Linked DNA regions of Pelodiscus sinensis. The protein of the gene in region 2 purifies or fractionates together with the protein of the main gene of each other region. This does not show direct contact. Links are inferred from orthologs where the notes say so. Each region holds a gene or a part of one and is shown on either strand. Other genes may lie near its edges. The genes, in order: RACK1 and IGF1R.

What was found.
Region 1: the proteins of IGF1R (region 2) and RACK1 purify together in Homo sapiens (affinity purification with western blotting; 4 studies listed by BioGRID, with this or other methods). This does not show direct contact. The link is inferred for Pelodiscus sinensis from reciprocal best matches to the Homo sapiens genes IGF1R and RACK1.

Annotation. Positions count from the first base shown.
Region 1 is NC_134742.1:1,211,301-1,215,203, reverse strand, and holds the start of RACK1 (small ribosomal subunit protein RACK1), read right to left. Parts: upstream 2,160-3,903; 5' UTR 2,068-2,159; coding exon 1,959-2,067; intron 609-1,958; coding exon 437-608; intron 1-436. UniProt on the Homo sapiens protein: Scaffolding protein involved in the recruitment, assembly and/or regulation of a variety of signaling molecules. Interacts with a wide variety of proteins and plays a role in many cellular processes.
Region 2 is NC_134724.1:8,750,730-8,754,632, reverse strand, and holds the start of IGF1R (insulin-like growth factor 1 receptor), read right to left. Parts: upstream 2,650-3,903; 5' UTR 1,385-2,649; coding exon 1,300-1,384; intron 1-1,299. UniProt on the Homo sapiens protein: Receptor tyrosine kinase which mediates actions of insulin-like growth factor 1 (IGF1). Binds IGF1 with high affinity and IGF2 and insulin (INS) with a lower affinity. The activated IGF1R is involved in cell growth and survival control.

The DNA.
Region 1 (3,903 bases), on a different chromosome or scaffold from region 2:
GCAGGACATGTCGTCACGCCCCCGGAGGGGGGTCGGCACAGACACACCAGGTCTAATCATTGGGACTGGGGGGAGGCGCCTCCGAAAATCCCGATGCCCCCCCGCCTGGATGTCCCCAAGACCGGCCATGTCTCGGCGGCACGGCCTCTTCAGGGGCAGGGGCTCCGAGCCGACCCCTGGGCGGTGCCGGTCCCGCTACCCCTAACGGCCGAGCGCACGTTTCCGGGGACCCAGAGCAGCGGGTGTGCGGGAGTCTCCCTCGTGTTTTAGACTGTACATTTCAATCGGTCACGAGACCCCCCTCCCAATGTTCCCCTGCCCCGTTTCTGGCCCCACTAAGGGGACCCAGAAGCCAAGGGGCTCTGGGAGGGGGATCCGGTTGCCGGCCTCCCCCCGTGAAGGGCGGGGCAGCCAGGCCATCGGACTCGGCACTCACGTGGTGAGGTCCCAGAGGCGCAGGGTGCCGTCCCAGGAGCCGGACAGGGCGAATTGCCCGTCGGAGGAGATGACCACGTCGCTGACGAAGTGCGAGTGGCCGCGCAGGGCCCGCTGCGGGATCCCGTAGTTGGTCTCGTCCCGCGTCAGCTTCCACATGATGATGGTTTTGTCTGCGCCCGGGGCGGGGGGGGCGTTAGTTCGCTCCCAGGGAGCTTTGGGGCCCCCTTGTCTCCCCAACCGGCGGCTCTTCCCATAGCGCTCTGCTCCCGCTCCGTCCCGGCACCCTCAGCTCTCGCATTCATGATCCTCAGCCCCCAGCAGGGTCAACGCACAACCAGTTTAATCATCGGGGCTGGGAGGAGGGGCGCAGAGCAGCCGGGCCCACCTGGGCAGAGCCCACCAGCAACCGGGTCAGCGCGGCCTGGCACAGCTCCGGGCAGGCGGACTCGGGAAGGCCCCAGGGCCCCTTTCTACGGGGCCACCCCCCCCATGGTGTTTGGGTCTCCACCCCCAGCCCAGCCCCCCTGCGTCAGCTACCTGAGGCGCCCCCCAACTCGGCCCTATCCCAGCAGCTCTACCAGTCACTGCCTCCCAGGTAGGACGGGCCTCACTGATGGGGAAACTGAGGCTGGGGGGAAATGCGGCCCGGAGGCACCCAGGGCCAGGAGGAGCCTCCGAGGTTGAGAGGCGCATGGAGGGGAGAGGGAATGGGGGGGGGGGGGGGACGGACAGGTGGGCGGGCAGGCCCCCGGCGAGGGGAGGAGGGGAAAGAAGAGCCGGGCACTGAACCCAAGCGCCCAGAGGCCCGGCCTGGAGCCTCCGAACCACCCCCAGGGGGGAATTTAACCCCCCACGCCCCAAGGTGCACCCCCAACCCCTTAGCCCCTCCCCCCACACCCCAAGGTGCATCCCCAACCCCTTAGCCCCTCCCCCCACACCCCAAGGTGCACCCCCGCCCCTTAGCCCCTCCCCCCACGTCCCAAGGTGCACCCCCGCCCCTTAGCCCCTCCCCCCACGGTGCACCCCCAACCCCTTAGCCCCTCCCCCACGCCTCAAGGTGCCCCCTTGCCCTGCCCCCCATCCCCTGGGGCCCCTCCCCCAGGCACCCCAACTCTGTGCCCCTCCCCCCAGCCACGTGGTCTGACCCACAAGACTGACCCCCCCCCGCTGAATGGTTCTTTCCCCTCCCCCCCCCGCACATGGACTCCCCCATTGCCCCCCTCTGCACTGAGATGGTCCCTCCCCCGCCACGTGGGCGAGTTGGTCTCTCCCTGCCGCTCCCCCACGTTTCCCCCCACCCGGGTGGTCTTTCCCGTCTCCCCCGCGCCGGGGGGGAGATGGTCTCTCCCGGGAGGGGAGGGGGCTCGACTAAGGAGATGGTCTCGCCCAACCGCCCGTGGCGCACGCGGGGGCAGATGGTGTCTCCCAACGGCCGCCCCGCGAGGGGAGCGCGCGCGGGCCGGGGGGATGGTCTCGCCCAAGCCCCCCCCCCGCGGGCCGGGGCCGATGGTCCCGCTCACCGCGCGAGGCCGAGAGGATCATGTCCGGGAACTGCGGGGTGGTGGCGATCTGCGTCACCCAGCCGTTGTGGCCCTTCAGCGTCCCGCGCAGCGTCATCTGCTCCGTCATGGCGGCGGATGGCGGCGGATGCGGAGCCGGACTCCCCCCGGCCTGGGCCTGCTCCCGGCGACGGCGAGAGCGGAAAGGAAGCGCCGGCCTGCCCCGGAAGCGGAAGCAGCCGCGGCTGCTTCCGTACGGCAAGATGGCCGCCCCCGGGCGGGAGCAGGGCCCGCAAGATGGCGGCGTTCTAATGGGAGCGACGTCTGCCGCGGAGCCATGGGGGCGGCCATCTTGGTTCCTTTTCCGTACAGCCCTTTCCCACGTGGGGGTGGGGGAGCTGGGTCTTGTGGTCTGGTTACAAAGGCCACGTGAAATAGCAGGGGGCCAATTAACATTAATTAATGTTAATTAATTAATTTTAATCCACTGATTCATTCTAGTCAATTAATGATCACGATGAATATGCAAATTAATCATCAGGTGAATATGCAAATGTGAGAGCTAATTAGCATGCAAAATAGGCGAGCTAATTAGCATGCGGAATATGTAAAATAATTCAGCATCCACACTGCCCTCTGGCGCAAGAGCTCCTGTGGAAGAGGGCTTACCCCTGTTAGAAGAGCGTGTAGCTCTCACGCAAGAAGCCCTCTCTTCCCACGCCGTGCTGTAAATTCCCTTGCGTGAGAGCGGGCGGGCCGTGTGGACGCTTTGCGGATTCTTCCGCAAGAACAGCCGCACTTGCGCAGGAAGCCGCGAGTGTAGCTATAACCTAAGTGTTTTCATAATCCATCCTACTAATTGTCCTTTGACTCCAATAAACCGTTGGCTTCCCGTAATGGCTGCGACAGTTGCTTTCAGAAGTTTATCTGTGAACATGCATTTCCTTGTTCCTGTTTTTAAAGTGTCCGCCCTTTCATTTCATTAGTTGCTCTTTCTCCTTCTTTGATATGAGAGAGAGGAAATCATAGAATCCTAGGATACCAGGACTGGAAGGGATGTCAAGAGGTCATCGAGTCCAGCCCCCTGCCCTCACGGCAGGACCAAATACTGTCTAGACCATCCCTGATAGACATTTATCTAACCTGCTCTTCAATATCTCCAGAGATGGGGATTCCACAACCTCCCTGGGCAATTTATTCCAGTGTTTGACCATCCTGACAGGCAGGAACTTTTTCCTAATGTCCAACCTAAACCTCCCTTGCTGCAGTTTAAGCCCATTGCTTCTTGTTCTATCCTCAGAGGCCAAGATGAACAAGTTTTCTCCCTCCTCCTTGTGACACCCTTTTAGATACCTGAAAATGGCTCTCATGTCCCCCTTCAGTCTTCTCCTTTCCAAACTAAACAAACCCAATTCTTTCAGCCTTCCCTCCTAGCTCCTGTTCTCTCGACCTTTCATCATTCTTGTTGCTCTTCTCTTGACCCTCTCCAACTTCTCCACATCTTTCTTGAAATGTGGTGCCCAGAACTGGACACAATCCTCCAACTGAGGCCTAACCAGCGCAGAGGAACGGAGGAATAAAAGCACAGAACCCTAGACCCAGCAGGGAACTCGAGAGCCATCAAGTCCAGTCCCCTGCCCTCACGGCAGGACCCAGCACCGTCTAGACCAGCGTTTCTCAACCAGGGTATGAGTCCCCTCAGGGGTACCCGAGAGACATCTGGGGGGTAAGTTTGCACCACTGAAATGTGGAGAAAACTGAATTTTTGTTTTAAGTTTTACAGCGTTGTATCGTTCTGTACTTTTCACACCGAAACATTTTATCACCCCCTCTGTGACGCTGAAGTTGTTTAAACATGTTGCAATGGCAGAAAAAAAACCATTGCGTTTTGAAAAAACTGTAGGTACTGGGGGTACTTACAATTTTTTTTAAAAGGGGTCCTCCCCCCCCCCCCCCCCCCGCATCC
Region 2 (3,903 bases):
AGGGAGATCGAGCACAATGTGAAAATGGTTGAAATAAAAAGGCCCATTTAACAACCGTCCCTCCAATCTCACCACTCCCACCGCCAAAAACGGGGGACAAAGTTAACGTTAATTTTAGGGGCCAACAATCCAATCTTAGCTAACAAAACAGGCAAACTGATCATCCGCACCGATTAATATGCAGATAATTGCAATCTAGTGCATTTCAGCTCTCACCATCCACACCCCTTCTATTTTCCCCTGCAACCGAAGGGGGCGGGCACGATAATATAATCACAGGTTTGAAATGCAAAAAACAAAAACAAAAACCCGAAGTCGGGGCTTTTTGCAACTCCCAAACAATACGGACAGACCCTGCGATTCCGAAAAGATAAACAGCAACAAGAAGCCACATCAGACATCTTTGTGCACTAGAGACTTAACCATTTGCAGAGCGCGCACGCACAAACACACAATGAACCACGTTTTCCACAAGGCAGAATTTAAACACAGAGAAGAAAACAACTCACGCTAGTTTTTTTTAAAAGCAACCGCAGAACTTCACTTCTAGGTATAAACAGAGCTTCTAATGTATTGATTTCTTTATCTTTAAATCCCTAGTCCTTCCAATGTGTCAGTCCGTGCGTCCATCTCCATATCCCCCCCCCCACACACACACACACACACGCCAAGTTGTATAGATCTATACAAAGTAATTAGGAGATTAAGTGATCTTCGTATGCTGACTATAATCCTTTTACATCTGAGCATCCCAAGAAGGGAAAGCCACGCTAGGTAAAAACAAAACACAGTATCTGCTTGTTTACTGAAATTCTTTCAGTGATAAGGTATTAACACCTGATTTTTTTTAAAAAAGGCATTCAGTTACTAAAGTCACTGTTCCCCTATAAACAGTCAAAGCATGCATTTCTGGGCCTTGCAATGTTGACCGAGCACCTTACAAGTCTTGGGAGTTTAAAATCTAACTATCTGGGGGAAATCTGGAGAGGCTTACAGAAATTAACACAGAAGACAAGATTATGGGGTAAGGGCAGGAAACAAGTGGACCTATTACTCTTCAGAAACAGGAGAGTGTCTAACCTCTGGTAAACGAATTTCCAAGCCAAGCACCGCAAGTGAGTTGAGAGGAAAGAGCAGCCTGAACTCAAGGTATTAAATGTGCTTAAGGGGCAGCTTCAGTAACAGGCAAACGCACGCAGCCTTTGAAACTCAAAAGTCACCGCAGTGCAAAACAAGCGCGCCCACCACCACCCCGTTTCCCTGCACCCCGCAGGTTTCAATGAAACGCCAAATACTCACTTTCTCCATTTGTTGGCCACAGACAAAGCGTGGCGAAGAAGAGCAGAAATAAGGTCAGGGACCCTCCTCCAGCGCCAGACTTCATTCCTTTTTTTTAAAATTATGGACAAGATCCCCTTTTCCCAAAAAAAAGTCCAAAATTTCTTCCCCTCCACTCACACACCAGCTCTATTAAGGGGGGGGAGCTTGGGAGAGAGGGGGAAAAAAATCACCCCGCTCCTCCCACGCGCAGACACAAAAACACCCTCCCCTGGGTTTGCAAATTCAAAGGTGTTTCTCCCCCTCGCGGAGGTGCTTCCGGAGCAGCTACGCACGGACAACAATAACCACGCCGGGCTGGGGCTCCCCCAGGACGAGCGATACTTGGGGGGCGCTGAGCAACACTCCCCCCTCAGCGCTGCCTGCAGGGATGCAAGGGGCACCGGAGTAACCAACACGAAGCACGTTGGGGCTGGCAGTCTGTATCTTCAGCCTCCATTTTCAAACCCCACAAAGACGCAGCAAACACACGCACAAAACCGGATGGGAAAAGCGGGGGGGGGGGCAAAGCAAGCTGATGGGGGAAGGGGCAATAAAGCTTCCCAAGACAGTTGATTCCCCTCAGCAGAGAGCAGAGGCTGCTCCCAAGGGAATCCCCCCTTGCAGCGCCCCCCAGCACAAAAGTAAGTCGGAGGGGGACCGAAAGACCCTAAAAAATGCGGGAGAAAAATGAATGAAAAGGCTTCCCCAGCTTCACAGCGCTGCTGCTGCCCCAGGCTCCTTCCAAAAAAACAACCTCCCCCCACACACACGCACACACACAGACACACAAATCCAGAACACACAAAGCGGTCGCGGGGAGAGCTGAGCAGCTCAACACTTCTCCTCCTCCACCTCTTGCTGCTGCTGCTCTCCTCGCATCCCTGCTAGCTGCTGCTTCTCCATGCCACAAACATCCAAACACAACTGACGCTCGTGTGTGCGCGCTGCAAACCTTCCCCCCTTCTTGTCCAGCCCAAGACAGGGGCGGGAGGGGGGAATGCTGCTAGGAAAAAGGGGGGGGAATCCGGTTTGCTGAAGGTCAAAGCCCAGGAGCTGGTTGCAAAGGGTCCGTAATTCCTCCAAGGGGGGGGGGGGGAGGTGGCGAAGGAGGCCCTGCTGCTGGGGGTTTAAGGCTGTCGCTGTTGGCGGCGGGGCTGGCCGGGTCTCCCCCCCTCGCCGCTCCTCCTCGCTCGCTCCCTTGCACGGTGCGGAGTTAATGCTGGTAAACAAGAGGCGCCCGCTGCTGCTGCTGCTGCTGCACTGGCACTGGGGGGCTCGCGCGCACGCACGCGCTCCCGGGGCTCCTCGCGCGCAGCAGCGGCGGGCAGGAGGAGGAGGAGTAGGCGCGAGGCAAAAAGAGGAGCGAGGAATCGTCGGCGCCGTCCGGAACGGAGCCCAGGCGGCGGAGACAAGAGCAGAGCGCGCGGCCCCTGCCGCCCTCGCCCATGGGCTGACCGCGCGCTGCTGCTGCTGCAGCTGCAGCCGGGCCCCAGTGCACGGGGCTGCGCGCGCCCAGCCCCTCTAGGTCTGCCCCGTGCAAAGTGCACGTAAGGCTGCAACAACTCCTCTGCGCGCACGCACCCATGCCTTGGTCTCGTGCATCCCGCTGTCGTGCAAGGAGGAATAGCATTGGGTCTGACTGGCATGGCACTAGCTCAGTGGGCCGGTGTTTTTGTTTTGCAGAGGTTGCCAGCTTCTGCTCTGGAATCTGATGATTTTTTTTTCGGGAGGGCGGGGCGGAGGCGAAGCTGGAGGGAAGTCCTCATGGCTGCAAGGAAAACCTTCGAGACGTGAACAGAGTGTAAACCAACGCATTGATGTCTTTGTGTCTGCCAGGCCTTCCAGCAGCCCTGCAGGCTCACTCCTGCGTCCAAAGCAATACCTAGTCGCCTTACACAAGCAAACATGCATACGGACGAGGTTGGCTCCGGTGATCAGCTTCAATAAGGGAGATTAGTTAAAAAAATGTTAAAATGAAGATTTCATTGAGCAAGTAGATTTAAAAAAAAATCTTTCATCAAGAGAAAGAAAATGTTTAAAAACTGGTCCTTAATTAAGGCATCCAAGCCATCCAGGGCAACCCTGTGGACTTTTACTCCTCTACACCCTTTTACTTTGCTCTTTTGCCATACCAGCTAAAATGCCTGATCTCTTAATAACACACAAACTGATGGTAAAATTGAAAATAATTCCATTATAAATCAAAGAATCATTGAACCGTAGAACTGAAAGAGACCTCATAAGGTTATCAAGTCCAGCCCCCTGCTCTAGGCAGGACCAATCCCAACTAAATCAACCCCACCAGGGCTTTGTCAAGCCGAGACTTAAACACCTCTTGGGATGGAGACACCACTACTTCCCTAGCTAACCCATTCCATTGTTTCACTACCCTCCTAGTGAAATAGTTTTTCCTAATATCCACCCTGGACCTCTCCCACCACAACTTGAGACCATTGCTCCTTGTTCTACCAAGTCATTACAGAGAACAGCCTCTCTCCCATCCTCTTTGGAACCTCCCTTCAGGAAGTTGAAGGCTGCTATCAAATCCCCCCTCACTCTTCGCTTCTGCAGACTAAACAGACC